2 linked regions of the Nothobranchius furzeri genome follow. The protein of the gene in region 2 interacts with the protein of the main gene of each other region in a pairwise test. Links are inferred from orthologs where the notes say so. Each region holds a gene or a part of one and is shown on either strand. Other genes may lie near its edges.

What was found.
Region 1: the proteins of efhc1 (region 2) and kctd4 interact in binary tests that used the Homo sapiens proteins (3 or more experiments, as listed by UniProt). The two-hybrid records come from large-scale screens. The link is inferred for Nothobranchius furzeri from reciprocal best matches to the Homo sapiens genes EFHC1 and KCTD4.

The regions. Positions count from the first base shown.
Region 1 is NC_091754.1:10,968,203-10,971,987, reverse strand, and holds kctd4 (BTB/POZ domain-containing protein KCTD4), read right to left. Parts: upstream 2,251-3,785; 5' UTR 1,899-2,250; coding exon 1,122-1,898; 3' UTR 548-1,121; downstream 1-547.
Region 2 is NC_091742.1:6,295,654-6,299,933, reverse strand, and holds the start of efhc1 (EF-hand domain-containing protein 1), read left to right. Parts: upstream 1-1,471; 5' UTR 1,472-1,613; coding exon 1,614-1,679; intron 1,680-2,759; coding exon 2,760-2,981; intron 2,982-3,060; coding exon 3,061-3,348; intron 3,349-3,453; coding exon 3,454-3,603; intron 3,604-4,280. UniProt on the Homo sapiens protein: Microtubule inner protein (MIP) part of the dynein-decorated doublet microtubules (DMTs) in cilia axoneme, which is required for motile cilia beating.

The sequences.
Region 1 (3,785 bases), on a different chromosome or scaffold from region 2:
TCAGTATTCTAGACTCCATGTCAGCTGGATTACTGACATAAATGAGTCTTTGCACCATATTGTCGTTTTTCCAGTTTCACCTCTACATCCCAACCTGGAGCCAGTCATGGAATTTTCTATGTAACGTCCAACACCATGTTTGCTTTGATTTGAATCGAGTGTATGGTATTTTTCAGGTTATTTTCCAGTTGTAGGAGCAGACATACAAAGCGTTATTACAGCGTTATACACAGTATATTTATGTGCACCAAACAGTTGTGTAAAATGTTTTGATTTGAAACTATTGGTGCAGACTGGAAGGAAACCAAGAAAAGGACACCCTCTGCTGTTCAGATGAGTTTAATGTACCCTACACTCTGTGTGGCTTTCTGCTCCAAATGGGAAAGAAGAGAGTTTTTACCATCAGACTTATTAATTAGCTGTGAGTGAGTGTCTAGTTGGTTCATGGCTCTCTTTTGTAAACAAGATGAAGCTGCAGTGTTGCTCAGTTGGTAGCAGTTACAGAACTCTCTGATGTGCTAGTTATCAGATAAAAAACACACGAAAATAAGAGTTTGATTGTTTTATTTGTAAAATATTCACATTTAAAATAGTTGTGACACCATCTGCACAGAGGCTCACAGCGCTGACAAACACACGGTTTATTCAGTGCACATGCATCATGCTGGGTGCAAAGCCCTTTACAATAACCACGGCTCTCTGGTGAAGCTCGACTTTCCGAATCAACCTTCGGGCTTCAAATGGCTAACAAGCTAAACATGAGCTATTACACCAATGCAGCGCAGCAACTCACACCCGCACTCATCAGCACACTCTACCTCTGTCTCTCTCTCACACGCACGCACGCACGCACACACGCACACACACACACACACACACACACACACACACACACACACACACACACACACACAGAGCAGAGTCGCTTTTTGTCATTCTGCTGTAAACAACCACTCTGAACTTTATTTATATGTCACCACTTTGCAGTAAAGACACAAACATTGTTGCTAGTCCACCCCACCTGTTCTCCATCTCCTACCAAACACGTCACAACATCTTAGTTTTACATCTGCAAGAGAATCAGGAGTTCCCTCCTTGCTGATCTACTTTTCCTTCTTGTTCTATTTGACAAAGTGCAGGGCCTCGGCCGCCACCACGGAGCCTTTGCTGCTGTCGAGGCTGGTTACCAACTTGAAGCCGGATTTTAAAGCTAGCATCACCGTTTCTAGTTTCAGACAGTCAAGCGTGCACAAGAAGGTGCTGTCCTCCTTCAGAACGAGCCGCGAGCCAGGCTCCGACTTGATGAAGTGGCGGAACTGGATCACGTTGGACGACACTACGAACTCTTCTGGAAAGCCATCCAGGCGGCTCTTGGAGATCTGCACCAGCCGTGCCTTCACCTTCTCTATGAAGGTGGCGTCGCTGCAGTACACCTTGAGGCCCTGGGACCTGTCGTGGCTATCTGTCACCTCCAAAAACGCGGGCTCTCGCTGCGCGGCTCGTTGGCTTTCCCATTCGATGACTGCTTCAACCAGTTCACTCAACCGGTAAAAGTCAGCTTCCCGCCGCAGAAGCCCCGCCTCCCGAAAGTCATCAGGTAGCTGCAGCTCTCCGGTTCTGAGATAGTTGAGAACATGACGAAAAACTGGGCCATCTCTGTCAATGAAGGGGTTACCCATAGAGTCGGTGTGCTGAACGGGCTTTTTACCATTGGCCAGCTCCTCCAGGAAGGACCCCAGGTGCTTGGAAAGGGTGGTCCGATGGGCGGTGTAAAGGAACCCCCCTACATTTAGGGTGATGGTACCTGAAGAGGGCTTCTTGAAGCTTTTGCTGGGCTGCAGCAGGTCTGGGTTGATGTGCCTCAATTCACTTTCCATCCTTCTGAGGTTCCATTCCATTCTCCAGTCACCCCCTCCAGCCTCAACCCAGCCTCCTCCTTAAAGCTGGCGTCCCTGCTCGTTTGGAATCGGGTCCGTGTTTTGTCTTCCCGGTTGAATGTTGGTCCTGCGGCGCAGCCGGGGGAGCGGAGCGTGTTGTCAGCTGTCGCGCAGTGAGAGGAGAGGAGTTTGAGGGAGTGTGGCGGCTGATGGGTGAGCGCTGTCTGGCAGAGGAGCTCCAGTGAGGTGGGAGCTGCAAACAGACTGGCTCTGTGTGCTGCTCCGTGTCCCTCCTCTCTCCCTCTGTCTCTCTTTAAGAGTGGGTGTGCAAACGGCGTCACACACAGGGAGAAGGATGTGAGCAAATAACAGAAGAGCGTGGATTCTTTCTGCCTTCTTGTCAGCTCTTTATTGTCTTTGGGGGCTTAAAAAAGAACGGCTGAATAAATACCTCTCACGCCAGATGGAGAGGGGGCTTTTATCGTTTTTGTGCTGTGAGGTTGTCAGACTTGTGCAAAGTCTGAATGCGGGACTCCTTTTTCAGCCAAACCCACTTGTTTATCACATTACTCAGTGAACCTGAATCTGTTTGAGTTGGACGCCAGATCAATGTCTCGAGGTTTGGCATTCTTTGGTTGTGAAGGGGAGAAGTGGGCAGCTTCAGCTCTTTTTATGCAAATCTCGTCTTCTCAAACGGTTCTGTTTTTAGTGAGCGCTGCCGTGCCGTGCGTCGACCGTGTGTTTTGTGTCTGAACGTAACAGACCAACTACGGCTGATTGCTGCCCGGTCACGGAGGACAGGCTTTTAATCAGTTATTGTTTACGTACTTACTGCAAACAGGTGTGTGTGTGTGTGTGTGTGTGTGTGTGTGTGTGTGTGTGTGTGTGTGTGTGTGTGTGTGTGTGTGTGTGTGTGTGTGTGTGTGTGTGTGTGTGTGTGTGTGTGTGTGTGTGTGTGTGTGTGTGTGTGTGTGTGTGTGTGTGTGTGTGTGTGTGTGTGTGTGTGTGTGTGTGTGTGTGTGTGTGTGTGTGTGTGTGTGTGTGTGTGTGTGTGTGTGTGTGTGATTTTAGTTTCAGACTGAGACAAGCTAGGGTTAGTCATTTTTTCATAAGTAACTTCTAGCTGCGATCATGACATTAAGCACCAACGACTCGAGCTGCAAGCTACATCCTGCGTTGTGTAAAACTTTCCTTTTTTTCTGTTTTCTTTTACTTCAGAAGATGAAGAGTTGTCTTGAAATTGTCCGACGTTCCTGCCGATGGCCTGCATCTATCTTCAGATTAGTTTCTGACCCAAAAAGCTGTTCTGCTGCAGGAAATGGTTTGTAACCTACTTTAGTCCTGGTTTTTATACCAGGGAGTTGATGTGCATCAATTTATCAGCACTTAAACACAACAGTTTGCCATTGCAAGGGAACTGAGATGTTTGAATACAGACATTAAAAAAACTTTATAAAATATCTGGAAGGATGCTTATGCAAGTATAGTCACAGCATCTCTGTGCATCTACTTGATATAAATGAATCTAGAGTCAAGTTTGTGCTAGGACTGCAGGACGCTTAAAAAGAAGATAATTATGTCCATCTGAATAGTTTTGTGAACAGATGGCAGGAGAAGACTTCAGCTGTTAGTCTGTTGCCTTCCCAAGTCCTAATCCAAACTTAACTAAAGCTCAAACGTGATTTTTTTCTGCACAGATTTAACTAAAGGGATCTTTGTGCAAAATAGCAGCACACATTTTGCTCTTTGTGTATATATTCCTGTAAAGAAAGTAGCTGTATTCATGGTGTTCACTTGCAGAGCACACTAATAAAGCAGCAGGGTGAAAGATTAAACACAGATGCTGTTTTCTTTTACATCACGCATGACCATGTTTAGAGCAGAAATGTTGTGTTTTGGGGTGATGGG
Region 2 (4,280 bases):
AGCAGGACTTTTTGAAGTGGGGATTTATGGGTTGGCTGCTTTAGACATACGCAGGCTTGCAGAGACTGAACCAAGGTCTGTTTTATGCAGAGCAGCTGGAAGAAACTGCTACACTTGGAGCTTTATGCTCAGTACTTTCCAGTATTCAGCGTGTGCTTTACCAGATGGGCATTTTGAATGAAACATGCTTGACAATGGGTCGATGTAGGACAATCATTCCACAGAGAATAACCATGCTGCATTTTGAGCTTAATAAAACCAAAAGATTTTAGTTTTTCTACACGTGTGCAGGGGATTCATCTCAACCCTTATGAAAAATATTTTATAATATTTAATAGTTTATCTATGTTTACTTTGTTTTAAGTATGCTTAATTATGAGATATTTTTATACGTGGCAAAGGCTGCCTGGCACCTCAGGGATGCAATCCTAGTATTTCTGTTTGGATGATGTGCTCATCGAGCCATGATCGGCTCAATTAAATAGGTTTTTCAGCATTTAAGGAAATTTTGAAATATGATGTAAAAGGCCTCAAAGAGGATTTTAGTGATTTATAGTTATTTTTGATACAGAAATTCACAGTGCAGTGCCTTTTTTTAGCCATTAAGTCATAGTTGTCACCCATAACTAGTGTTTTTTTAACTGAAATCACATTTCTATTTCTATTTATACAACCATTTTGCTATGGAAAAGGTGGAGCTTGTGTAAAACCTCAATGTTTCTATTGAATATTGCACTTGCCATCTACTCTGTAAAATTGCAAGAATATGCCAAATTTGTAAATGTGGTTTTGCTTGAAATTACTTTTTCTAGTCTTTGATGATCAAAGATTGTGTGAACTTCAGGGCTCCAACAAACCACGGCCTAATTCCATAGCTGTCAGTGCTGAACAGATGCTCATGGTGATCACTGCTTGCTGCCATCTGAAGAAGGAACCAGCACTGAAGATGAAACGTGCAAGTACCAGTTTAATAACATAAGCTATAGTCAGATTCATTTAAAGGCTTTCATTGTCTTAATGGAACATTTTAAAGCATTAAGTTTCCCATCTTCTTGTCTAGACTTGGAGGAATTTCACATGTGCTAATAACAATGTAAGACTCCTGTGCTTGGAATAAACTGTTCAAATTTAAACTGCTGTTGTTTTTCCTTGGAAATTTTAATTTTCACAGCTTTATCTGCACAATCCTTTTCTCATAGCACAGAAACAAATCAAATCAAATGATAGGTAGTCACGCAAATAAGAGCAAACTTTGTTACCCAAGTTAGGGAGAGTCGGCAGGATTTAATGAGCAATGTTGCCCCCTGGTGGCCACATGAGGGTTTTGCTATTTACGAATTAGAAAATATATAAAGAATTAAGAAATCATTTTATTTCTAATTTCTTTTTATTATTCCTGTTCATTTTTATCGTAAAATTTGATTTGTCTCATTTTTTATGACGGAAGTTTTATTTTTCTGTATTTAATTTTAGAAATTGTTACTGTTTTATCGTTTCCATGGAAACTACAAACTAACCTCAATCGTTGTCGTGTGGCTTTGTATTTCGAGAAGCTCTTCAGGAGACTCAAATTGTTTTAGAGACAATAATTTAGAAAACTGCTTCCCGGGAAAATGGCTTTTAACTGGAATAACTATGGGATACCATTTTTACCAGGATACTCGTTTAGAGAGGAAAGGGTAAACTGACACACCTGAAGCTAAAGCTAGCTAGCAAAACAGAATTCTTGATGTAAATGACCGGTAAACAAACACTAAAGTTAGCATTTTGCAGGCTTTTGCTGTTTTTCATTATTCCTTTACTTTTTATTTCTGTAATAGAAATGTCATTGCTATAATTCCTCAGGCATTTGTGGAAAAAAGAAATTACTAATTAGTCATAATTGATAAACATATTTAAACATTGTTGAATGCTTTCAGCTCCATAAAAAAGTTCTGATAACATTTAGAAGAACTGTTACACAAATTATTCACATCTGTAATTTATTCATCTTATTTGTTAATATAAAGCTTTAGTGTGAAATGTCTAGTAACAGCACATTTTTGCAGAAGACGGCTAAAATACTCTTTTACTATGAGATTTTTCTCAACTGCGGGGATTTTACCATCTGTTCTGTAAAACCAACATCAGCAAAACTGATCATTAATCCTTGTGCAAGTTGGCTTGCAATGAATGAAAAACCTTATACACTATATAAGAATACAACTTTTCTAGACCAGTGTTCATTTAAAGAGCAAGTCATCCCCAAATCAACTTTTTTTTCTGATAAACTATATAAATGTGCGTAATCGAGCTGCAGACACATGTAGACAATAGTCTTGCACTTTAGTTAAATTTTTAATTTTCTGCCTAAAACTATCAGTGTTGTGCTCTCTTCAGCTGAAAATTCTGCACTGCATTTGAATTTAAATCTGTCATCGCCATTGGCTAAGAGATACCCTATGGTGTTAGCTGGTACAATATGATGTCACAATGCCGTTGTGAGCCTGTGACTCTTTAAAGAACACAGAGTTTAGTTATTATTCACAGCTGCTAGTGATTGGAAAATTGGTAAATCGAAACCTATAACACCTTTTGGTGCTGGATCACTCAAACTAACCAACTTATTACAGAAAATTACATGGAAATACACCAGTGTCATATTTTTATTCTATGTACTTTGCATCTACAAGCGTCATGCTACATTGTGAAGTTTCGTGTACATGACTTCATAATTTCTGGTGTGATTTAAGTCCACAATAAAGTATTTGTTTCGACAGAAGTCCTCCTTCCACCTACCCCAGACTCTGATCTATAAGAACGGCTTTGCTTTGCCTCGTCGCCCATCCGCTGGCATTGGTCAGGAGCCTCTAGTATCAGAGCAGCTGTCCCAACAGGAGATCAGTGAGCTGTCCTTTGAGAAACCAGACCTTACATATCACTTTGATGACAAGACAGTATACGAAGACTTCATCCCAGCTTATGTGAAATTCGACAAAAAGGTTGAACCTAGAAAATCTGATATGATCATTTATCCATAAAATGTAAATTACTGTTGACAACCATCTGCTTGTATTCTAGGTACTTTGTTTCTTTGCATACTTCTTGGAGGATGTCTGGAATTCACCTGACGAGGATCACCGTATACGCCATGTGGTCATTTATTACTATCTCGAGGATGACAGCATGTGCATCTGGGAGTCCGCAGTGATGAACTCTGGGATATCACAGGGGAAGCGGCTCAAACGCCATCGGGTGCCAAAGAATGACCGTGGAGACTATTACCACTGGAAAGACTTCAACCTTGGTATAGACCTGGAAGTGTATGGATACAAGTACCATCTTACTCACTGTGATACATTCACAAAGGTACATCACTCCTGATTCCTGTTATCATCCCTATGAAACAAGTGTTGTGTGTGAGCCGCTTCTGCAACTAGTCTTTTGGTTTGAGGCTTTTCATTCACTCAACAGGACTTCATGGAACATGAGGGTATAGTTCTGAATGAGCCTGAGCCGATGCCTGAGGATCCTTACATCAAACATCGTCAACTCTCACCACCGCCCCGTATCACTTCACCCACACCCGACATAACTCACCGGTTTCTTACCATGGACCTTAAGGTAAAGGAAAGTCCTTGTTTCCAAGTCACTGCAGCAATAAAACGAGCACATCTGGTGACCTTTACAACTTTAACATGCAGTTGGAGGAGAACAGGCACATAACAAGAATGCTATTTTGTGCAGGATTGTTACTTGTTAATGTTTTGTATATTTTATGGATTTATACTGGCTGTTGCAAGTACAATCGTAGTATGTTCCAAAGGACATCTCATTAAAGAACATTTAAGACTACTTACCTGCAACAAAACCTATATCCAGATTAACTATAATCACTTTATTTCAGCAACTAAAAAGTAAAAAAAAGACTCCAAAATGTCAACCATTTATTATTTTATAAACCTCCACATTGCCATACAATTTTATACTTAGTTACAGTTCAATTTTGTATAATATTTTAAACATTTTTTTTAAATATTTCTGCCTAATTAATGCCGTTATGTTGATTTGATACTGTTGCTGAGGTTTGAAACTGTGTAACATAGTCCACTTTGACATATATGTAACATCCCATTAATACCAAATGTTTAATATTTGACAAATCTGTTTTTAAGAGCTTTAACAGGATTTGTACTTTCCTCAAAAACCTGAATCCTGTACATTTCTTCTGCCCTCTGGTTGAAGCTCTGTGTTGTAGGCAACATGTGCAACTGTATTTTTTTAATAGTTGTTTGAAACCA